3 linked regions of the Alligator mississippiensis genome follow. The protein of the gene in region 2 purifies or fractionates together with the protein of the main gene of each other region. This does not show direct contact. Links are inferred from orthologs where the notes say so. Each region holds a gene or a part of one and is shown on either strand. Other genes may lie near its edges. The genes, in order: LAMTOR2, SLC38A9 and LAMTOR4.

Region 1 (7,551 bases), on a different chromosome or scaffold from region 2:
ACTATCAGGACAAGCACTTTCAGCTGGGAAAAAGAGGGATGCATAGGCTGAACTATACGGGCAGAGAAACCAACCACATCACTCACAGAGGATGGATGCAGGGTTGCTGGGTGCTCCATTTCCAGCACCCCCCGTGGTCCCCGACCCACTGCTCCGCCGGCTGCCACCTCCCCCATCGGAGCCGGCGCTGCTGGACGTGGAAGGCTGAGATGGGGCAGCAGGAGAGGCGGGTGTTGCAGCAGGGGTGGAGGCAGCAGCAGAAGTAGCAGAGGCAGCAGCAGCTGAAGGATCTGGAACCCTAAAGAGAGAAGAGACAGTCACCGCTGCGGCAGGGAAACTCACACAGCCGGTTCCCTTCTGCAGTTCAAGAAAAGAAGCTGGGAGTGACCACCTCCGGTCAAGGGGGATGTAGAGCCATCACATCCAAAACAACCTGCTCTCACCCAAGGCAATGAGAAGAGAAGCGATGTTGGTATATACTTAACTCAGTCAACGCACCTCAGAGAAGACTGGTCCCTAAGCAGGCACTGACTTTTGTGTTATATATCAAAAAAGCAACTAGTTGGTTACCAGCATTCTTGACCCATTTGACTGCACCATGTATAACAGGCTTTTACACCACATATAACAGAGATGGGCTTTCCTCTGTGGCTGCAGGGAACAGGACTAGGAACAATGGCCTTAAGCTGCAACAGGGCAAGTTAGGCTGGAGATGAGGAGGAATTTTTTGACTTGGAGGGTGGTCAAGCACTGGAACAGGCACCTAGAGAGGTGGGGGAGTCTCCATCCCTGGGAATGTTTAAGGGCAAGTTGGACAGACACTGGGCTGGGATGGCTGAGTCTTGCTGGGGTTATTTGACCCCAGTGGTCTTTCCTGCCAAGAACAGGAGGACTGGACCCAATGATCTCACGAGGTCCCTTCCAGCCCTAAACTTCTGTGAATATGAGTCAGGGCTGATCCTGCCTTGAGCAGGGGGCTTGACTAGATGACCGTATAAGGTCCCTTCCAGCTTGACTTTCTCATGTTCTTTTCTCTTCAACCAACAGGGCATATTATAAGTAGAAATGGGAGAGAAGCAAGGCCCTGATGCTGCAGAAACTTGCACCCAAGCTTAGTCAGATCCATGAGCAAGCTTGTTAAGGTTAAGAGGACACACCCACACTGGCAGGGTGAGAAGCCATTTGCTACCACAGCTGTTCTAGCTTTGCTAGTTTCCCTTCCTCATTTCTCTCTCTCACACAGCAATGGGAGGGAAAGGACACTTTAAAACCCAAAAGCAGTTAAAGTCCCAATCCCCAATGGGAAGGTGGGCATGAGCCCTGGAACTACCAGCAACTCATCTGAAAAAGGGGGCTACAGTGCATATCAATGCCATTATGAATGTGGAACCATCAGGTGGTTTGCAAATGATGCCCCCTTCCCATAAACTGGCCATTCAACCACAAAGAAGGGTTAATACCTTCCTTGCCCGCTCGGCAAGAGAACCTGCTGCCCCCAGTACCTGAACAGACTGCAGGGAGGTAGCTCCTTGCACTGAGCAGAAAGGAAGGCTGACTGCCTTTCTAAAAGGAGAGACAAAAACCTTATGGGAAAGCTGTGAGTGCGGGGGGAAAGCAATGAGACTGGGAAAGGAGAATCTGCAGAGGTGGCCCTTAAAGGGGTTGAAACTGCAGATGGGCAGTGTCTTGGAAAGAAATCACAGCTGGCCAGCTGCTTTGAAAGCCTTTCTCCCCTTGCAGCCTGCCGAGATCTCTCTGCCATCCACCTCCATTCGCTCAGCCTCCCCTCCAAAAGCAGCTGAAATAGAGCATGCCTAGCCAGCTGCTGTGAGATGCTTGCCCTAGGAAAAATACTTCAGAATAACTACCCAGGGAGCAGGCTTGCGGCTACCGGGAGCACAGAAATTGTTGGATGAGGATTTTTTTGCCTCCATGGAACTTTCCATGGCAATTTTTAATCCCAAGCATTTTACAAACTAATTTCGCTGCTACCACAGCAGCGGCTGCAGTCAGGGAGACTGGGGAGAAGCCAAGCAGATGGGAAATAGGAAGTTTAATAAAGAAAAAAAAAGAAGAAAGATCAGGGTCACTTGGACTCTCTCAGCACAGGAAGGAAAGGCTGCGATGCACACATGCTGGTGACCATTAGAAAGACAAAAATGAATGATGGGCCAGTTTTTAGTTTACCCCAGGAGACAGTTTGCAAGTGCTGAAGTTTATCGCGGAGACAGCGGGAAGCAGCATGGCATCAGCACGCTCCGTGCACAGGTACTGTTCTGTACAAAAGCCTCCAACAGTAGCTGACAATTCGTGTGGCTTCAGAAAAGAGGTACTGATTTTTAATAAGCCAGGGAGGAGGCGCTCCTGGTGGGGGACAACACAGCTTCAAAAGGAGCGTGAGCCTGTTTAATGACGCCCACTGCTCAGATGGAAAGACGAGTCCCAGGAATGGTGGGAAAGGGCCGTTAGGAACAAGGAGGCCTGCTTGCATCTGTAACGCGGCAACGGCACCAGGAATCATTAGACAACTATAACTTAAGAGTCACCCAGCAGCAGCTTTCCAGTATGTTGATCTACACCCCATGTCTCTGGTCTGCCTGAAAGGTTACCCCCAAAAACGTCGTTACGTGCTCTTGATAATACCCTACACTCACTGAACGCCTCTTGCTGAAAGATCTCCCAGCGCACAGGACGGCCGGACCCCGCAGCCACGGGGACCCTGGAGCGCAAGGTTTTGGCTTCACATGGCTGTGAGCAAGTGAAATAATCTCCATATCCGCCCTGTCACCCGGAGAAATCCCTGCTTTAATAGGTTCTTACACGCAACAACTAATACTCGTAAGATTTCAAAGCACGTCAACTCTGCAAAGCTTTATGAAACCCAGGAGCCCGGGAGCCAAGACCCAATTAGAGCAAAGTCCCGCAGCCCCCCGAATTTGAACTCGTACGCTTGACGGCCAGGAACTCACAAACACGCGGCGTCATTTCCTAAAACCCCGGGAAAGGACGATTTCTTACTTCTGTGGGGTCTTAATCACCAAGTGCACAGTCAGTCCATCTTTGATCCCGTGTTGGCTCAACGTGTCTCCATCCTTCAGGATCTTCCCCGCAAAGATCAGAACCAGCTGATCCTGTTTGGCTTTAAACCGCCTGGAGATTTCTTCTTTGAACTAGGGACAAAGACAAAAGGAGGCAATTCTCAGGCCGAGGCGCTTTCCAGTCTGCCCGAGAGGCTACAGGAGCGCTGGGAACAAGCCTTCGCGCGGTCCGAAGGACACCGGGCAGCATCCCCGGGGCCGAGCTGGTTTCTGAGGTGGTTCAGGGGGCGACGGTGCATCCTTCGCCCGTTCGGCTCGTGCAGGCGAGCTTTGCAAGAGCAGAGCGCAACGGCCTTAACGTGAAAAGCAGCTACGCCGAGGATTACGGGCCCCGTTTACACCGGATCATCGCCGCTGGCCGGCACCGCAGAAAGCATGCCGGAGCGAAGCAGGCGGCCCCGTTTCTGGCTCCGACTCCCACGAGGACGCTCGGGTTTTGAGCCGACGGCCTCGCGGCGCCGCGGGAGGACCATCCCGTCCGCGGGAGGCTGCCCCGGCTCGGCACGTCCGCCCGTGAAGACGCGGCTCCGAGGACAGGCCCGGCTCCGCCTCGTCCACACGCGCCCGCCTGGCCATGCGCCGCTCGCCCCCGCGCCCCCCCGGCCCGAGCCCCGCGTCCTGGCTCGGCGCCCCCGCCCCCAACCCGGCCACGGCCTGCTCGCGGGGCGACCCCCCCGCCCGGGGCAAAACCTCCCGCGCGGCCCTGGCCCTACCCCCGCCCCCGCCTCAGGGCCCCGGGCCCAGGCCGCACCTCGCGCACGGAGGCGCCGTCGCCGATGACGATCTCCTCCTTGTCCTTGGGGGTCTTCACCGTGACGCGGATCAGCGCCGCACCCGGCCCCGGCTCCGCGCCCTCCGCGCCGGGCCCGCTCGGCTCCGCCATCTTGGCCGCCCGCCCCGGCCCGGCCCGGCCCCGCCCCCCGCCCAGGAGAGCGGCCCCCGGCGGCGCGGGGGGGGGCGCGGGGAGCTCGGCGCCCCCTGGCGGCGCGGCGGGGAACTGCGGGCGAGGGGAGGTGGAGTGGAGGGGCTTGGTGGGGAGACTGAGGCTGTGCATGCCCCTTGCGGGGGGAACTGAGACACACTGTGTGTGTGCATGGGGGTATGCATGCATCTGGGTGGGGAAACTGAGGCACGCTGTGTGCAGGGGGTATGCATGCCCCTGGGGGGAGAGGCGTGCTGGATGTGGGGAAGGGTATGCATGGCCCTTGGTGACTGTCTTGAGCTCCATGAGCCCCCCTCCCCTCTCAATCCTCGCAACTCTGCTCCGTAAGTGACACAGGGGAAACTGAGGCACGGAGAAGCTGCTCTGAAAAAGGGGCTAGCTTCTGGGTAGCCAGGGGCTGATTGTCCCTAAGGGCTGCCAGCTGGAGAGCTCACACCCACCCACCGCCCCTTCCCCAGGCTCAAGGCGGTTGCAAAGGAGCTGTAAAATGCTGCAGCCAGGCCGGAGGGAAGCTGACCTGGATGTGGGGATTAATCAGAGCATTCATTTCTCTGTTTTCACATCACCAGCTCCCAAATGTAAGTAGCGGTGGGGTGCGAAGGGGGTTGATCTCATGGCTGTTTGGGAGCGTCTGTGCTGGAGATGCAGCCGTGTTGTGCCTGCCATGGGGTTAAAGCAGGATTTTGGTCTTGTTAAGATAGAAATATATATTTCAGTGTATGTGTGCCTATCTATCTATCTTGCTCCTGACCCTCAGCCCCTGCCCACCCCCAGGCCATGCTGGTGCCTCTCACTCCCAACCCGCAGCCCCCTAGCGCTGCCTCCAATTGCCCTTCGCCTGCTCCTCCCAGCCCCAAACAGCTCCTTGCTGGGAAGTGCCAAGGGGGAAAAAAAAAATGATGCTGAGTAGAGCAAAATCCCAGATATTTGTTCATATTTTTAAAAAACTGCCTGGACAGAGGACCCAAAACGAGGACGTGTCTGGGAAAACCCGGACATATGGTAACTCTAAGCAATGTTTCTGCTTTTTAAAAAGGGAAACTGAACTGAGCTGGCAGGGCTGGGGGGTGGACAGCAAGATCTTTGTGTGGGCCATGTGCCTAGCTCCTGTCCTGGAGGTTGCCTGCAGCTGCCTTGCAAGCCTGAGTTGCTGGCAGGGCCATGCAATGCCTGCGCCTGTCGCATGTGGGCCTGACTCGGCAGAAGCCAGGCCAGGACTACAGCTCCCAGGCTGCTCCGGGCGCCCAGGGGCCATCAGCTGATGGGGAAGCAGAGCTCAGAGCTGTCTGCCTTCCTCTCCTCCCTGCTGCAGGGCCAAGAGCCGTGCGGTGGTGACCATGCTGCGCCCCAAAGCCCTCACCCAGGTGCTGAGCCAGGCCAACACCGGGGGGGTCCAGAGCACCCTGTGAGTATGGGGGAGTCGGGGGGTGGCTGGATGAAAGGGGTCTCCAAAGCCTGGGGCACAGCTCAGTACCTCTGAGCCTCCTTCCTCTGTACTCTTCCTAATTCAGGATAGAAACAGGCACCACTTGGTTTCCATCCCTGCCAGGAGCCATATAATGCAGCCTAGTGTGCCGTAAAAAGCAGTAATCCAGCCTAGCCCCTAAATCCTGTCTTCTCCCTGCCCAGGGGGGCTGGGGCACTAGCTTGCAGGACTAGCTGCATTGATGTGCCTGTGCATGGTTTGCTGAAGTGCAACCAGGCTCGTTCCAGCTCTGCCCGTTCTTGCATGCATTGACGTGAGACACTGCTAAGGGCACAGGCAGACAAGTTTCTTTAGGTAAATTTGATTTATTGATTGATTTTTATTATTCAACCAGTTAAATGCTTGGAAAAAATTTGTTTTTGCAAGCTTTTGGGTATAAACACCCTTCTTCAGAAGCTCGCAAAGAACAATTTTTCCAACTATTTCGTTGGCCAAATAAAAGATAACACGTTTACCCAAAGAACCTTGTCTGCCTATGTCCTTAGACCGACACGGCTACAACCAACAGCCTTAAAGCTAAGGGCATAGGAATCTTTTCCCACCTCCCCAGTTGCACCCCAGAGCCAAAGATGCCTTGGCTTCCTTGCATTTCAAGGTTGCTGCAACAGGCAGGAAGAAAACATACCATCAGGGGCGCGGGTCCTGGAGCTGGTGAGGTTGCCTGGAGCTGGGTAGATGCCGATCTTCTTTATGGCTAAGAGCCCCAGCTGGACAAAGCCTCAGCTGGGATGATGTAGTTGGGGCTGGTCCTGCTTTCAGCAGGGACATGGACCAGATGTAACCTCCTGAGGTCCCTTCCCACCCTCTTTTTTTTTATAATGTAAACCCCAAGGCTTCTGTAGCTTTTATGTAGGATGCCTGCCTGGATTTGGGGAGCTTCTGAAGCCCCAGACCGATAGGTCCAGGAAGGAGGACACTTGCCCAGTGGTAGAGTCACGCAGACTTGACAATTGAGCTTTGCTCAGTTGAATCTTGATACTTGATTATTGGGCTTTCACGATTGAATTTGGAAAGGATTCGGCCTTGAATAATAATAATAAGACGGTGATCTTCTTTCACACATGGGGTGATGCACTTACAGCTGAAGGTATAACCTGCCTGGGTGGTATTGTGTTAAAGGGAGGGGAGGGTGCTGGTTACTTCCCTCTTGGGGTGGAGGGGTCACACTTGGGATACTTGTGACTTTGGAGAGGCTGCGTGGGACCCTGGGGGCTGTGCATATGGGGGTTCAAGTCTGTCTCCTCCCTGCATCTCCTTTCCAGGCTTCTGAACAACGAGGGCTCGCTGCTGGCATATTCTGGTTACGGAGACACAGACGCCAGGGTCACAGCTGCCATCGCCAGCAACATCTGGGTGGCCTATGACAAGAATGGGCACCAGGCTTTCAATGAAGACAATTTGAAGTTCATCCTGATGGACTGCATGGTACCTGGGTTGGGGGTGGGGGTGTCGGTGGACTCCTGGCAGGAAGGTGGGATAAACCCAGGCAGCTTGAACATGAGATCCTGGCACCCAGTGGGTGGCTTCTTCCTGCCTTGGTTTCTCCCATCTGTAAAATGGGTCTGGTATGTGCCTTGTTGTGGGGACCAGTGAGCTTTATTCAAGTGTTTTGAGATCTCCCTGATGGAAATGCTAATTGTTGGGAAGTAGAACATCAAAACAGGGGAGCACTTTGCACCTGCCACTTGGAGTAAAGGGTGTGGGTGTGTAAACATCAGCTAAAACAAGGCCCAGGCTTACAAGTGTGACCTGACTTTGGCATAGCGTAAAGGACTGCATACAGGCAGTAGCAGCATCGAGCACTCTTCATCCGTAGACCTCAAACCACTTGACAGGCCAGCCTCAGTCTTGCAGATTGAGGGGAAACTGAGGCACAGAAAGGGGAAGGGCCTGGTTGGGCTGCTTTGCAGGCCCTTCTCAAAACAGGAGTAAAATCTGAGTCGAGGGCCCTTAACCCCTCTGCCACGCTATCTTCCCAACGACTCCTTGGTATCTTGATGAGGGAGAGCAGGGCCTCGAGATGC
Region 2 (7,983 bases):
GGGGTCTTATTCGACCTGAAGGGATGTGGGCAGTGGGATCCCCCAGGGCTCAGTCCTTGGGCCTGCACTGTTCAACATCTTCTTGGACGAGGGGGTAAAAAGCACCCTGTTCAAATTTGCAGATGACACTAAGATGTGGGGGGAAGTGGGCACACTAGAAGGGAGGAATGGGCTACAATCAGACCTAGACAGGTTACAGGGGTGGGCAGATGAGAACAGGATGGGTTTCAACACTGACAAGTGCACGGTGCTGCACCTGGGGAGGAAGAACCAGCAGCATACCTACAGGCTGGGGAACTCCCTTCTCATCAGTGCAGAGGCAGAAAAGGATCTTGGAGTCATTATTGATGCCAAAACGAACATGGGCCAACAGTGTGGGGACGGGGCAGGAAGGCCAACCACACCTTGTCATGCATCCACAGATGCATCTCATGCAGGTCCAAGGAGGTGATCCTCCCCCTCTATGCGACACTGGCCAGGCTGCAGTTGGAGTACTGCGTCCGGTTCTGGGTGCCGCACTTCAGGAGGGATGTGGACAACATGGAAAGGGTCCAGAGGAGGGCCACCCGCATCATCAGGGGGCAGCAGGGCAGGCCCTATGAGGAGAGGCTAAGGGACCTGAATCTGTTCAGCCTCCACAAGAGAAGGCTGAGGGGGGACCTAGTGGCCATTTACAAACTAGTCAGAGGGGACCAGCAGGCATTGGGGGAGTCCCTGTTCCCCCGAGCACTACCAGGAGTGACTAGAAATAATGGTCACAAGCTGGCAGAGGGTAGATTCAGACTAGACATCAGGAAGCGCTACTTCACTGTAAGGGCGGCTAGGATCTGGAACCAACTTCCAAGAGAAGTGGTGCTGGCTCCTACCCTGGGGGTCTTTAAGAGGAGGCTAGATGAACACCTTGCCCCGGTCGTTTGACCCCAGTACTCTTTCTTGCCATGGCAGGGGGTTGGACTTGATGATCTAGTCAGGTCCCTTCTGATCCTACAAACTATGAAACAATAATTGAAGGGTAGGACATACAGGAGAGGTAACTAAGACTGGGGGGTGGGGGGAAGACTATAAATCTAATAAATAAAGAGAAAGTATATATAAGTGATTTGCATTGAACATCATTTTGTAACTTTCTGCTCAAGTAAAAGATAATTGTTATATGTGCAGACTTTCTCTTCGTATCATTGTATACATAAAAGAAATTGGATGGAACTGCCTGAACTGCTGCTATGTTTCTTTTAAAACATAACAAGAGCTTCTGTCACTTCTTACAACGACTTTGGGTGCATAATAAATTATTTTTGGTTATCTCCTATATGTTTACTATCATTTGATGCTTGATTGTTCAAAGAAAGTAACAGCATAGCTGCAGACCAGTTTTAGTGACCATTATTTGCACTTCATCTCATAACATTTGTATCTCTTGCTCTATGGAAATTAATCAATTTGATTTATTATAGAAAAGCCCTACGTTAAAAAATATTAAGGCTTCAAGGTAAAAGATTCAAAAGTTAGAAAATGCCAGAATTTGATTTTCCAGCTCCTACTCCAAAGAAAAAAAAAATGTCTTCACATCGACAGCCCATGCAGCTATCACCCCAACTCTCCAACCTCCTCTTTTGGGGAAGGCAATTGAATGAGTGGGTCACCCGGCAGTTCCAGGTCTCTCTGAATTCTATCACACACCTGAACCGTGGTCAGTCTGGCTTTTGTCCTGGGTACAGTAAGGAGATGGTGCTTATCAGCTCAGTCCAACAATCTTCACCTGGAGATGGACAGGGGAAATTGTTCCTTTTTGATCTTATTAGATCTTTCAGCAGCTTTTGATATAATTGATCGAGACCTACTCAAATCATGATTTCATGGAAATTGCAAAATTAAGCAATCTCTGTGAAATTCCGCATACCCCCCAAAAAAAAACCTTCCTAAAAATAAAGTGCTGGCAGTTCTCCTGGCTGCACAGCCCACCACAAATAGGGCTGCCAGCATGAAAATAAGAGGGCAAGATGGCTGCCACCCCCCCACCCCCCGCCGCAAGATGGACAACCCTGTCCACCAATCGGGGCGGGGGGGGGCCACTGGGGCCCCTCAGTCAGAGGTGTGGGGGGCCCCCACCATGATAAGCTCATGGAAATAGCTGCAGGGCTCACAACCTGCCTGCAAAATTGGCCAGTGATAATGCATTTGCATGATCTGGTATATACTTGTGAGATCGCTTTGAATTAGTTCCACTCTTTCCTGGCAGGGAGGGCCCAGAGAGTGGTGATAGGCGAGTGTTTGTCATCCCATCAGGACCTCTCATGTGGGGTCTCCCAGGGTTTTGTGCTGTCACAGCTCCCGTTCAATACGAATCTGAGACCGTTGGGCAAGACTGTGAGTAGATGTAGAAATGCCATCAGCCTGATGATGGCATCCAGCTCTTATCTTGCATTTTCATTCAACCCAATGCTCTCTACATGGGGCTGTCCTTGAGGACCGTCCAGAAGCTGAGTCAAAATGCAGTGTCCCTAAAGTCACCTGAGAGCAACCTCCTGCAAATGCCATGGGTGTGTCAAGTTTGGTGGAATCAAATAGGAGGTGGTTCTAGGTAATCGCCCCTCAGCTCTGGAGCCCTCCCCTTAAAGCCCAAGATAGCCTCAGGCTGGAGATCTTCCAAAAGCATTGCAAGACCTTTCCATTTCAGGCCTTCAGCAGGTGGGGTTAAGTCTGGGGGCACTGCCTGGATAGGATGTTCGACTAAGTTATTTTATTTTATATTTTCATCTATTTCATATATTTTATTTTATTATTTATGTTTTGTTTTTACTGTAAGCCACCCTGAGCCTCTTTTGGGGAGGGCAGCATATAAATCTTATCTAATCTAAATTGATAAAAACTTTGATTCAGGTCTCTTGAGGGTATGAATTATAATACAATTTTTACTGACATAGTCTCACAGCATCTCCACTCCTTTACTGCCATGATGCTTATTTAATGACTACCTATCCAGTATATTGTTTGAGCATTATTGTTCAAGTGTGACCCAACATCTTATTTACAGCACACTATATGAAGTCTGCTTTTGAAGGACAGAATTATTAATTTCCTAGGGCATTCATTACTACAATATCTGACTGCTCCATAAACATGAATGAACTTAACACCCCTTTGAGGTTAAGGGTACTAATGCCTGCAACTGACAAATGGGAAGATGAGACGGGGGAAATTAAGACTAATTTTAGATATCTAACAGGAAAATGCCCAATACCTAATATTTCAGAATGCTTAAAATATGTAACACTTTGTATGTTTTAAATGATTCACCAAACATCGGACAAAAGCTAACAGAATCAGAAATATAAGCCAGTTCTCCAAGGCATCTTTCAACTGCCTTCTTAGGCTGTTCTTTCTTCTCCTGAAGTCCCTTGCTCCATGCTTTGTACCAGGAGAGACAATCCTATGGCCCACAATATGGCTCCAGAACCAGCTCATCTGACCTGTAGGGTTTGTAGAAAGGCCAGGAATTTGGGAGTGGGACCTGCAGAGATGAGGCTCACTGATGATATGCATGGCACAAGTCCCGTTGGGAATGTGTGTTGGGCACGGGGCATGGGGACAGCCGCTGCAGGAACCTCCACAGCTGCCACTGCTGCTCACCCTGCTGCTGCCGCTTCTGCTGCCACATCTAGATTCAGCCTGCAAGGAGCCCTGCAGTTTGGATCCAGCCCAGGGGCTGAGATGAGTCAACACCCCTAGTCTACACAACTTGAAACTTCTGCAATTAATAAGGCAGAGGTCCTACAGACAACAGTCTTATTTACCACTGAAAATGGATCTGTAGATAGATACACAGATAGACTTTGTTTTTACAGCTGCTCATTCAACAAAATTCACCAGTACAATATTGGCATTAAAAAGTATACCATGCGATTCCAAGTCACACTTTCCCCACTGATTTCACTGATTTATTCAGTGAGTTTCTCCTCTTCATGGAAAGTGCCAGTCCCAGGGAGGAACTAACAGGCTTCCATCGTGTATTGTGCTCTACATGTTTGTCTACGTAGGGAGAGAGTCCAGAATAACCGCTCTGTCATAGCTCCAAGTATGGCCACACAACAATCGGTTCTACAGACCAGGGTAGAGACCCACTTCTCTCCGCACCAGCGCTCCTCAACCTTTCTTCACCCCTCCATAACTTCTGTGAATGGAGTGACACCCAATTTAAAAACTAATTTAGATATCACAGTACTTACCTCCTTGCAGAAGGGCCAAGCAATGGCAGTGGAGGATGGATCAAGCAGGGACATGCCTGAGCTTATCTGCTCACTCCCAGGGGCACCCTTCAAAGGATCAGCTGGGCCCCGGCTGAGAAGCACTGCCTTACACACATGCACTGACTGCTCTAGCTGGTGACTGGGTCTGGCGGAGGCGTGGGGGGTCAGGAGCAGTCTTCCTGCAGGGGCACAGCCTAATTTACCCCGCTTCTTGGGCCCCCCCTTGGCAGCATTTCTCAACCCGTGGGCCGAGAAGAATCAGTGGCAAGGAAAGCAGTGGCTGAAGTGGGGGCGCACAAATGCCATCTTTATTACGGCGGGGGGCAAACCCCCGAGGCTGGGGGAGGCTGCCCTATACCTATGGGCACGGGGGCGAGCCAGGGAGTGAATTCACAGTGAATTCCCGGTGCGCGCTCACCCGCGCCAGGCAGGCCGGGCCCCAGGGACGGGGGGCAACCCGGGGTGGGGAGGCAGCCCCGTCCGGTCACCGCGCCGCCCGCCCGCCTGCCTGCACAGCTCCCCCCGGTCCCTACCCCTGAGGCTCAGCACCGCCGCGAGCCGGGCCCGCCGCTCCCCGGCCAGGCCCGGCCTCCCCGCGCATCGCGGCGAGCGACCCGCCCCCGCCCCCGCCCCCGCCGGGGCGCGCTGGGAGCTGTAGTCCGCGCCCGCGCCGGCCCGGCAACTTCCCGCGGCCCCCGCGCCCTTCCTGTTTTCGGCCGGCGCCGGAGCCAGGTAGAGCCGCGCTCGGGTGCGGGCCCCAGCGGGGATCCGGGCACAGCCCCTGGGGCAGCTGCAGCGGGGTCGCGGGGAGGGGGTCGGGCCGCCCTGCCAGCCGGCCGGCCCCTGGGGGCGCCCGGTTCGGGCCCTCGTTGGACCCCCGCCCCCGGCTCGGGGCGATCCCGGGTCGTTTTCATGCGAGCGGCCTTTTGTTCCAGGTGAAGTGGGAGCCCTTGGGCTCCCCGGCCCTCGGGACGGGCCCCGGGGACACGCTGGCTTCTCCCTTTCTTAATCCGCGCAGTGGAGGTTACTTCAGGGAGGAGGAAGGACACCTGCTTTCCAGGCGGTAGATAATATTGCCAGGTTGTACTTCTCCTAAGGCTGCACCCCAGAGAGTTTCAGGGCTGTGTTATCTGGGGTCAGTGTAAACATCTCAGCCTGCTCTAGACGGGGCTGGCAGCTACCTGTGCTCCCTCCCCCCAACACTGCAGCTTGCAAGTCTGCCATGCAGCCCCCATGCCCAGAGCCTGCCCCCTCCCTGCTTCGTACCCTGCCGCTGAATCTGCAGGCGCATCAGGTCTCTGCCACTGGCTGTCTTGTGTTAGCTGCAGTGCAATGCAGGGCTAGGACAGACAACCAGCTGACAGAGGCTGTAGTGGGAGTCAGCAGCCACCAGGCTTTCATGCATCTCTGGTTCCTCACTGAAGGGGACCAGTAAGTCCAACAGAGACTCCCATGCTTTCTGTATGTACAGCTACTCCTCACTTCATGTCCCAGTTATGTTCTTGAAAAATGTGACTTTAAGCAAAATGATGTTAAGCGAATCCAACTACATCACAGCAGTTACCTACTAGCAGGCAGCGGCCAAAGTGTTATAACCGAACATTGCACAACCTTTAAATGAGTGTGTTCTCTAATAGATCAGTGATGTAATAATGAAACAATGTTATCCCTAATGATGTTAAGTGAGGAGTACCTGTACCTGTCAGGAGATTTCCTTCACTTGGGAAAGGTCTGTCAGCAAAGCCACGTAGTATAGGTAGGCCAAAGCTTATACGTCCACACTTCAAGCCACTTTATTACAAAATTCTGTCTTTCTGCTAGCTGACCAAAAATGATTTCTATTGCTGCCTGGCAGCAGGTATGTGTAGACATGCCTACAGCTTCTGCCAGCTCCTATGGTTCCTTCAGCAGTTGGTGCCTCCCATATACTTCACACCTGGCCAGTACAACAGCTGTAGTAGAGCCACCAGAAGCACATCACTACAAAAATTTTGTAGCAGCTTCCTTCTGACAGCTGCTATTAGCAAAATTTATGGCACAGACACAACCTAGGCAGACAAGATATAAGAGTTCTGGTAGAAAGATGGAGTCTAAACTCACCAAAGAGCTTTGGGTGCAGAAACACTCAATGTTTTGCTGGTAGAATATGGTAGTAAGGATGAGAGAACGTAGATACATAGAACTAACAGACTGGTGCATGTTTTGTCTGACCACTGGGGAGAAGGCCAAAGTGTGCTTGAACTGGGTTTAAACTTGTGTAGTAAACTATTTATACACTGTTATAGAGCAAGGATTCTTAATCTGGAGGGCCTCTATGTGCAGCAGCTATTAAGAACATTATGTGTGTTTTGTGATCAGGAGAGGGAGCCTACCAAGGAGATGGTGTGAAGTAATATATGGTATGATCTGTATTACATGGCTTTGCTGCTCCATGAATATTCAACGCTCTGGTTGAGTAGGCACAGTGTACAGGATAGTCATTGTAGGAGGGTACCTTGTTTGTTTGAAAAGGGGAGGAGTAATGGACCCTATGGACATGTGAAACAGGGCTTTGTATTTTGGGGTCTGGAGTACCTGTGATTATCTGACAGGTTATGGTGACATTAATAGTATTTGAATTGGTGAGATCTTTCCATAGCAGTTGTTAGAGGTGCAGCCCCCAAAGTCTAGAGCTAAAGAACAGACAAGGGATTTGATGCACCCATGATTAGGCAGGCAATATAACTCCTATTGTTTAAATAGGAGTTTTAAATAGCAGGGATTGTTTCAAGGCAAAGTGTTAATTTGAATAATTCACAGGTACTTAATGTGGGACATTGAGTTTAGTTGTCTGTAAGGTCTGGATTTGATGCACCTCAAAATGCTCTAATGCAATCAAACTTGTGTTTGTTAGTGTTTAGCCTGAGTGTTCCAGCCACTTTTAAAAGAGAAGCCACACAATTGTAGCATAGTTTGGTTTCTACTCATAGCCCATCACCCCATGTTGAGAGAGGGGTGGAAAAAGGATCCTGCTCTTCAAGTAAATATTTTATCATTAAGTAAAAAGAGTAGTGACCCCATTCTTCTGTGTTATATTGATTGCTACAGAGCTATTTATTTGGTTCATAGTGCACTGTTCTTTTCAGGACAATTTCAGAGGACCTGCCTTTTATCTTAATGCTTCTGTTTTGAATGTGGGCCATAAAACTTTAGAGTGATACTTTCAAAAGCACTTTGTTTTGGCCTTATTATTTTTCCTTACTGTATCGTCTAGTATGAGCTGAGAAGAGACCCATAAGGAAGGAATGAAAGCTCCAGGAGGGGAGGATGTTGCTGTGTGAGTGGCAGAGGAGAAAAAGAATAATTTTTGAAGGAAAAGCCAGTTTACCAACCATTGAAGGGAGAGAAGAGTATCTACATCAAGGATGTGAAACCAAAGCAGCTGTGGATGAGTGGTGCTGGGCTGGTCTGCAGGCCTGATTGGGCCCATGGACATGTACACACACACCTTGACCCTCTTTCCCCTTCCCTAGCATACCTGATTTGGCTGCCACTCTAGGTCCCTTACAGTGGCTGTTCCAGGATCTGGGCTGCACAGCATGGATGCCATGTGTAGCAGTTTGGTGGGAGCAGTGGCCGCCCCAGTTGGACTGCACTACAAGCAGTACCTGCCCCAATTGTGCTGTACATGACACCTGCTCCAGCTAGTCCAGAAGCCACACTGCACATGGCACCTGTGAGCGTTGTGTGCAATGTG
Region 3 (7,415 bases), on a different chromosome or scaffold from region 2:
GTGATGGCAGAAGGACCCAGGCATCTGGGCCCCCAGCCCCTCTGCTCTCACCCCCCAGGTGTCTGAGCGGCAAATAAACACCATAGAATTGAGCTGTTCTGCCTCTCTTGGGGGGGGGGGGGGGGAGGGCTGCGGTGCAGCACTGAGGTGGGGGAGGGCTGTGGTCGGCAGCAGGGTCTCTGTGAGGGTACTGAGGGGAGGGGGTGGGTGGCGATGGGAGGGTCCCTCCCAGGCTGGGAATGGAGGAGCCAGAGTGGGGAGAGAACCCAGGCATCCGGGGCTGCTTCGGTGCCAAAAGGGCTGGGGGCCTCCAGGACTCCTGAGGGGGTTGGGGTTGACCTAGGGACACAGACACAAGCATGATAGTGAGGGCTAGGCCACACGCATGTGTCCTGGACCTGTGGGGCCCACATGTGTGTCTGTGCCACCAGGTTGGGGCATGTCCTGGACGCCTGCGTTCTGCATGTGCAGATAGCACCCCCCCACCCCCTGGGCCTGGGGGCAGGGTTCAAGGGGCTGCTCCACCCTGTAACCAGGACCTGAGCAGACCCAGATGCCTGGGTTCCACAGGAAACCCCTGGTCCCTGCCCCAATCGATCGAGCCAAGGCCTTGATGGCAGGTCACAGCTCAAGGCCACAGCACCTGGAGCTCCTAGACCCCGGACTCCTGGGTTCTCTGGGGTGGGAGGGGCTGAGGAGTGAGAGCAGGGGGCTGGAGACCTGGATGCCTGGGCTCTCTGGGAGCAGCTGGTGGGGGGGGTGCCCAGGCCCCAGCCCCTGGGTTGTCTGTGGGTGCCTCCTCCCTACCTGTTCCCCCTGGTCCACAAGTTGAACCCAGGGCTGTAGGGCAAAGGTGGCATTTATGGGGCCTTAGCCCTGAGAACAGAAAAGCTTGTTAAATAATCAGTGTCATAACTTGTGTTGTCTACCCCCCTTGCACCCCCCGCCAATCAGGAACCCAGGTATGTGGGGTCCCAGCCCCTGCCCCCCCAGGTATCTAGGCCCCTCTACTCTCACCCTCCAACCCCTCCCCTCCCACAGAACCCAGGCATCTGAGCCTGGGGGAGCCTCCCTTCATAGCCCCCCGCCCCCGCAGTTGCTATCTTGCCCGTGGGGCAAACTCCAGGAGCAGCCACACCCGCCCCCAACCTATATATTCCGCAGCCCCAGCAGGCCCCGCAGCCACCATGTGCCCCGGGGCCTGTTCGCGGGTGTTGGGAGCCGCGCTCTGTCCCCTGGCTGTACTCTGCGCCATCTGCAATGTGCTGCTCTTCTTCCCCAACTGGGAGACCCAGTTTGTGCATGGCGGTGGCGCCCACCTCACCCCGGAGGTGATGTACATGGGTGGCCTTGTTGGCGGCGGCCTGTTGGTACGAGGGACGCTGGGCAGATGGGGAGGGACTGGGAGCTAAGCCAGGGGATGCGGGGTGCAGGCCAGACCAGGGTCTTTGCCCTTCTCTCTTCTCCTTCCAGATTGTGATCACCGCCATCCACTTCCAGGCAGCTGGGCATCGGGGCTGCTGCGGGAACCGCTGCGGGGTGAGAGACCCCTGCCCTAAATCAAGGGGCTGGGGTTTGGGTGTGAGGGGCACCAGCAGGGTGGGGGAGGGGCTGCAGGTCAGGAGTGAGGGATACTGGGGGCGCAGGGGCTGCAGGGCAGGAGTGAGGGGCACCGGATGGCTTGATCCTGATCCTGCCCCCACCCCTGGCTAACAGCCCTCCCCTGCCCCTGCAGATGTTCCTGTCCATGCTGATGGCGGTGCTGGGCATAGGGGGTGCGATCTATGCCATGACGGTGTCGGGGCTGGCACTGGTCCGCGGGCCCCTGTGCCAGTATCTCCTGCCCGAAGGCAACCTCTCAGATTGGGGACGGCCCTTCCAGGGCCCACCCTGGAAGTCCGACGATGATGATGACTTCAGGTTGGGGGGGCGAGGGTTGGGAGTGAGGGGCACCGGTGGGGGGGCTGGAGAGGCAGGGGATGCGGGTCAAGAGTGAGGGGCACTGGCTGGGCTTTGGGGGCCAATCCAGGGTGACCCCCTACCCCCCGCAGGAAGTCGAGCTACCTGTTCCACCCGGAACTCTGGGGGAAATGCCACAACCCGCCGGACGTGGTGAAGTTCAACATCATTCTTTTCTCACTGATCCTGGGGGGAGCCGTGCTGGAGCTGCTGCTCTGCACTGTGCAGTTCTTCAACAGCTGTGCTGGCTGCATCTGTGGCCCCCGGCTCCGCAAGCGCCCTGTGAGTGCCTCTTATTCCCAGCAGGCCCCACCCCAGAGCCAGCCACCCTGCAGGGCTGGCCGCGGGCTGTGACAGGGACAGATGGGGACTCACCTCCTTCCTTTCTCTTTCAGGCGACGCAGCACTGAGGTGCACTGGAGCCGCACCCCCAGCTCCAGACCCACATGGGTACCCAGGCATCCAGGGTCACCCTAAGCACCATGGACCCAGGACGACTTTGGGAAGGGAGTACGGGGAGGGGGTCCTGCTGTACCTTGCTTGTGGCTCCAATAAAGCCCAGGACAGGGCCAAGGGTCGTGTGGTGCCTGTGGAGAACGAGGGGGGATTGATGGGGGGTGGGAAGGAAGCTGTGACCTACCCGCTCCCTGACTGGAGCCCCTCACTCCCATCCCGCAGCTGTGCCAGCCCAAGTGGTGCCCCTGACCACCGACCCCCCAGCCCTGCAAATGCCCCTTACTCCCAACCCGCAACCCCCAGCTCAACAAGTGCCCCTCACTCCTGCCCCGCAGCCCCACCTCCATCCCCACCCCCACCAGTGCCCCTCACTCCAGACCTGCAGCCCCACCTCTCCTGCAGCGGGGGGGAGGGGGTGGGCAGGAAGTCACAGCTCAGCTGTTGGCCTGGCTGTGCTGTGTGGCTGTGGCAGTCCTGTCGCCCGCTCTGCCCCGAGCCATTGGCGGGGGGTCACAGAGCTTGGAGCCCCCCGAGGCGGGTAGGTGACTGCGGGGGGAAGTTGGTGGGGGGCATCCCGGACACCTGGGTTCTGTGTGTGCTGTGGGAGAGCAGGGAGCTGCCTCTCTGGGTCCTGTTCAACCCCCACAACTCACCTCCATGGAGCTGGGCTGGGGCAGATGTGGGGGTATCAAGGCTGGAGAAGGGGGCAGTGCCCTAGTGGGACCTGAGCTGAGACCTGAAGGACTCGTTCCATGTACACTTGGGGGATATCAGAGCTACAAGTACCCCCACCAGCTACTGGAATCTCTGGAGAGGGAAGGCCCCTGCCCTGCCCCCCCATGCAGTGCCCCCCAGGACACCTGGATCGGGGCCTGGCAGGGACTGCCCCCCCCCCGCCCCTCCCCCACTGTACAGATCTGGTGACAGGAACTCTTTATCAGCCCCACTCAGCAGTAACGACGGCGGCCTGTGGTGGCCTGTGGCTACAGGAAGGGAACCCAGGCATTTGGGTGCCCAGCCCCCCCTGCTCTCACCCCTCAGCCACTGCTGTCCTAGAGAACCCAGGCATCTGGGCTTCCCACTCTGATGTGCAAGACTCCACTTCTTCCCCTTTGAAACTGGAACTAAAGGATAGGAGCTGGGTCCTCTCCCTGCTGTCTAAGAGGGGATAAGGGATGGCTGTGAGAGAAGTGGGGGCTGGGAGCCCAGACGCCTGGGTTCTGCAAGGGGCTGGGCTTAGAACAAAGCCTGGGAGCCCAAACACCTACAGCTGGATTTAAGACAAGGCCTCGCTTCCACACAACCCCAATTATATTGCCGAGGGGCAAGGCACACACCTCAGCTGCCTCTTCCTGGGTGGGGGCTATAAAGGGGCGGCCCTGGGGGCAGGAAAGACTCATTAAAGGTAGAAGTTTTGACCTGGGACCAGTAGGTTACTGGGAGAACTGGGAAGGGGGCTGTGGGTTGGGAGCAAGGGGCACTGGCAGGGCTGGGGGGGCAGTCCAGGGGGGTCCCCATTGTCTCGAATCCCCCCCCCCCACTCCAGGCCCCGCGATGGCTGCAGATCCTGAAGACAGCTCCGTGCCGCTGTTGCGGGACCCTGAGGATTCCCCTGTGACCCTTGCCCTGACCTGTAAGTGCCCCCTGTCCCCCCTGGCTGACCCCTGCCCCAGGCTCCTCCTGACCCTGTGTCTCTTCCAGGCCTGGGGAAGCTGGTGCTGTCGGCGCTCCCGGTCGCCTGTGTTGCGGTTGGTGAGTCCAAACCCCTCAATGGGGCAGTGCAGATCCCCCCTTCTGCCCCCTCACTGACCCCACGCTCCCCCAGGGGCTGTGTACCTGCGGCAGTGTCCCTGCCAGCCCCTGGTGCCCGTTTACCTGCTGGGCATGGGGGTCGTGGCCCTGCTGAGCCTGATGCTGACCTGCCTGCCCTGTGGCGATGGGGCTGAGCCGCCCCCAGTGAAGCCTGGAGTCTGGGGCTGCCATGCGCTCTTCCTCCTCTTCCTCTTCGCCTGGTTCATCGCTGGTGAGTCACAGGCCCAGATGCCTGAGTCCACTGGGGAGAGAGGGAGTGGGATGTTTTGACCTTTGATCTCTCAGTGGCAGCCCTCTCATAGGGCTGCTTGTATACCAGGCCCCTCTAGCTTGCATTTCCCACCTCTCCAGCAGTGACCTCTGACCTCTTGTGGCCTTCCCTGACCCGTTACCTGCATCTTCCTAGCTAGCTGTGACCCCTCAAAGTCCCCCCTAGCAATAACTTCTGATCCTTTCTAGACCCCCATCTCAATGTTCTAGCTAGCTGTGACCCCCTTGATTTCCCCCCTAGCAGTAACCCCTGACCCCTTCCTGACCTCCAGAGCTGGGTATGACCCCGTCGCACTTCCCAGTTCCTATCTAGTTGTGACCCCTTGAAATTCTCTCTAGAAATGACCCCTTCCCAGTTGGGTGTGACCCCTGACTCCCCACCTACATCTTCCCAGCTAGCTGTGACTTTGTGAACTGCCCCCAGCAGTGACCTCTGGCCCCACCCCAGGCAGCCTGACTCTGCCCCTGCATGACCACTGACCCTTGCCCTCCCATGACCTCTACCCCACAGGCAACGTGTGGGTATACTCCATCTACCCACCGGAGTACGTAGCCATTGGGAACCCACACTTTTGCCACCGTGGCCTCTACCTCTTTGCCTTCTGGCTGACCACGGGTGCCTACATCGCGCTGGGCCTGGCGCTGCTGCTGGCCCTTGGAGCCACTGCCTGCCTCCTGCTGCTGCGCACTCGCCTGCCCTGGGCCCGCCACGCCGACTACCCCTAGGGGGTCAGGGATTGCTGGTCACTGTGTGCAGAAAATGGGACCAATAAATCAGTAAGAAGCCTAGGCCTCTGAGGCAGTATCCCCTAGGGCTCCCATGCGTTTGCCCACACTCCCATGATCCCCTGGGGTAGCAGCCCCCCTCGTCAACCTAACAAAACCCTGTTAAAGGGTGTCTGCAGGTCCCCCTGCACCCGGGTCTGGGGGAGGCAGGGTCCCGAGTATGTACCAGTGGCATCCACGTCCACGATAATCCCCTGCAGTGCCACAGGGGCTGGGACCGCGGCAGGTGGCAGGGAAGGAGAAGAGGGGTGAGAGGTGCCTGAGGGCAAAGAGCCCCCAGCCCAGTGCTGCTCTAGGAGGTCTTGGGGGTCCTAGTGCAGCTTGCACAGGCTATGTACTGAGGGCCAAATCTGGCAACACGACACAGCCATGGGGCTCCCATTCTGGTGGCACCACAGGGCAGCAGGGCCTCGCTGCAGGGGGCACCGGCCACCTGCCTAGAGGACAACTCCGCCTCCAGCACTGCTTCCAGGGCCATGGGGCTGGGGTGCCTGTGACGGTTAGTGCCCATGGGCCCTGCTGCATCCTGCAGGAGACAATGGGGGTCACAGGGTTGCTGGGCACTGGGACCCTCCAAGCACCAAAGGCCAAGGAAACCCAGGCATCCAGTCTGCCAGCTCTCACCCCTGCAGCCTCCCCTCACCCCCTCCCACACAGCTCAGGTTTCCGGGCTCCCAGACACTCATCCCCCAGCCACCACTCCCTGGCCAGGAGACCCCTGGCCCCAGGAGTCTGGGTGACAAAACCTGGCAGTTTCCCATAACTCGGGCACTGTGGATAGGATCTGACACAGGCGCCACCCTTGTTAAGAGGAGCTGTGGCAGGCAGGGTTGTCCCTCGGGGAGGGCGAATCGGGGTGACCACCCTGGGTCCCGCGCTTTGGGGGGCCCCGCAGAGCTGGGTGGAGCAGTGGTGGCGTAGAGTCGGGCGGAGTGGTGGCTCCGTGTCCAGTCATTTGCTATCCCCTGCTGCTGCTGTAGCTTCTGCTGGGCCTGGGCCAGAGTGGGGGTGGGTCCCTGCATGGGCTGATTTCCCGTGGGCCCCACACCCTGTTTGGGTCGCCTCTGGTGGCAGGATGTGCCGGGCCAGGCTGGGCTGGACTTTCCTATTCCACTTTTTCCCACTCCCTCGTGCACACGCAGCCCTCTGTCTCGTGGCACGTCGACCTCTCCATACGACACGACACTGTTCTGCAGCACCTCCAGCAGCAATGCGCTTTTTGTAGAAAACACTGGGTAAATCGAGACTCCCTGATGAGAGATTTCAATCCCAAATTAAATCATAATTTCAATGGATTTGATCAAATCCATCCTGCCGGTGCAGGGGACAACACAAGCACCTGGGACCCTTCACGCATGGGGAGAGAACCTAGGCATCTGGGCCCCCCACAGACCCCATACCCCTTCCCCCCACAGGCTGATGGCCAGACGCCGGTGTCTGCGCTGCCAGGCTGTGCCCCTGCCTGCGTACGCCCTGTGGCTGCACCACTTGTCAGTGACGTTTTCGGCTGCACCTAACAAAAATAGTCGATGATGTTAATCTTCCTTGTAGCGGTGCCGATGAGGCACAGCCGATGCCCTTGCACAGCTCGAGCCCCTTTCCCAGGCCTGGGAGGGGGTCTGCGGCTGGGTTCCCGCGGGTTGGAACAGGAGAGCGGGGGGGAGGAGTGAAAGTCCCCCGGCTGCGCTCCCATGATGCCCTGGGGCTCCTGTGCCCTTAGCTGCACTCCCAGAATGCCCTGGGGCAGGAGTCCTACTTACCCACACTCCCATCATCCCCAGAGGCAGGAAGCTGCCTTGGCTGCATTCCTGTGATTTAGCTGCATTCCCATGATGCCCCGAGACAGGAGCCCCCCTTGCTTGCACTCCCATGATCCTCTGCGGCAGGAGCCCCCTTGCCCGTACTCCCATGATGCCCTGCAGCTGAAGCCCCCTTACTCGCACTTCCAAGATACCCCAGGACAGGAGCCCCCCCCCAGCTCCTTGCCTGCCCTCCCGTGATGCCCTGCGGCAGGAGCTCCCATGCCCGCACTCCCGTGATCCTCTACGGCAGGAGCCCCCTTGCCCGCACTCCCATGATGCCCCGCGGCCGAGCCCTGCCCCCAGAACCCGGAAGCGGCTGCGCGTCCGGGC

The links.
Region 1: the proteins of SLC38A9 (region 2) and LAMTOR2 purify together in Homo sapiens (co-immunoprecipitation; 5 studies listed by BioGRID and IntAct, with this or other methods). This does not show direct contact. The link is inferred for Alligator mississippiensis from reciprocal best matches to the Homo sapiens genes SLC38A9 and LAMTOR2.
Region 3: the proteins of SLC38A9 (region 2) and LAMTOR4 purify together in Homo sapiens (affinity purification with mass spectrometry; 4 studies listed by BioGRID and IntAct, with this or other methods). This does not show direct contact. The link is inferred for Alligator mississippiensis from reciprocal best matches to the Homo sapiens genes SLC38A9 and LAMTOR4.

The regions. Positions count from the first base shown.
Region 1 is NC_081838.1:17,228,251-17,235,801, forward strand, and holds the start of LAMTOR2 (ragulator complex protein LAMTOR2), read left to right. Parts: upstream 1-4,534; 5' UTR 4,535-4,617; coding exon 4,618-4,619; intron 4,620-5,353; coding exon 5,354-5,446; intron 5,447-6,789; coding exon 6,790-6,952; intron 6,953-7,551. Other genes in the region: UBQLN4 (ubiquilin-4), read right to left, coding at 87-298, 3,019-3,170, 3,850-3,981. UniProt on the Homo sapiens protein: As part of the Ragulator complex it is involved in amino acid sensing and activation of mTORC1, a signaling complex promoting cell growth in response to growth factors, energy levels, and amino acids.
Region 2 is NC_081826.1:268,407,483-268,415,465, forward strand, and holds the start of SLC38A9 (neutral amino acid transporter 9), read left to right. Parts: upstream 1-4,891; 5' UTR 4,892-4,979; intron 4,980-7,983.
Region 3 is NC_081838.1:23,516,296-23,523,710, reverse strand, and holds the start of LAMTOR4 (ragulator complex protein LAMTOR4), read left to right. Parts: upstream 1-4,354; 5' UTR 4,355-4,396; coding exon 4,397-4,438; exon of another isoform or gene 4,439-4,468; intron 4,469-5,008; exon of another isoform or gene 5,009-5,274; intron 5,275-7,415. Other genes in the region: MBLAC1 (metallo-beta-lactamase domain-containing protein 1), read left to right, coding at 1,474-1,539, 1,736-1,920, 2,052-2,241, 2,355-2,369. UniProt on the Homo sapiens protein: As part of the Ragulator complex it is involved in amino acid sensing and activation of mTORC1, a signaling complex promoting cell growth in response to growth factors, energy levels, and amino acids.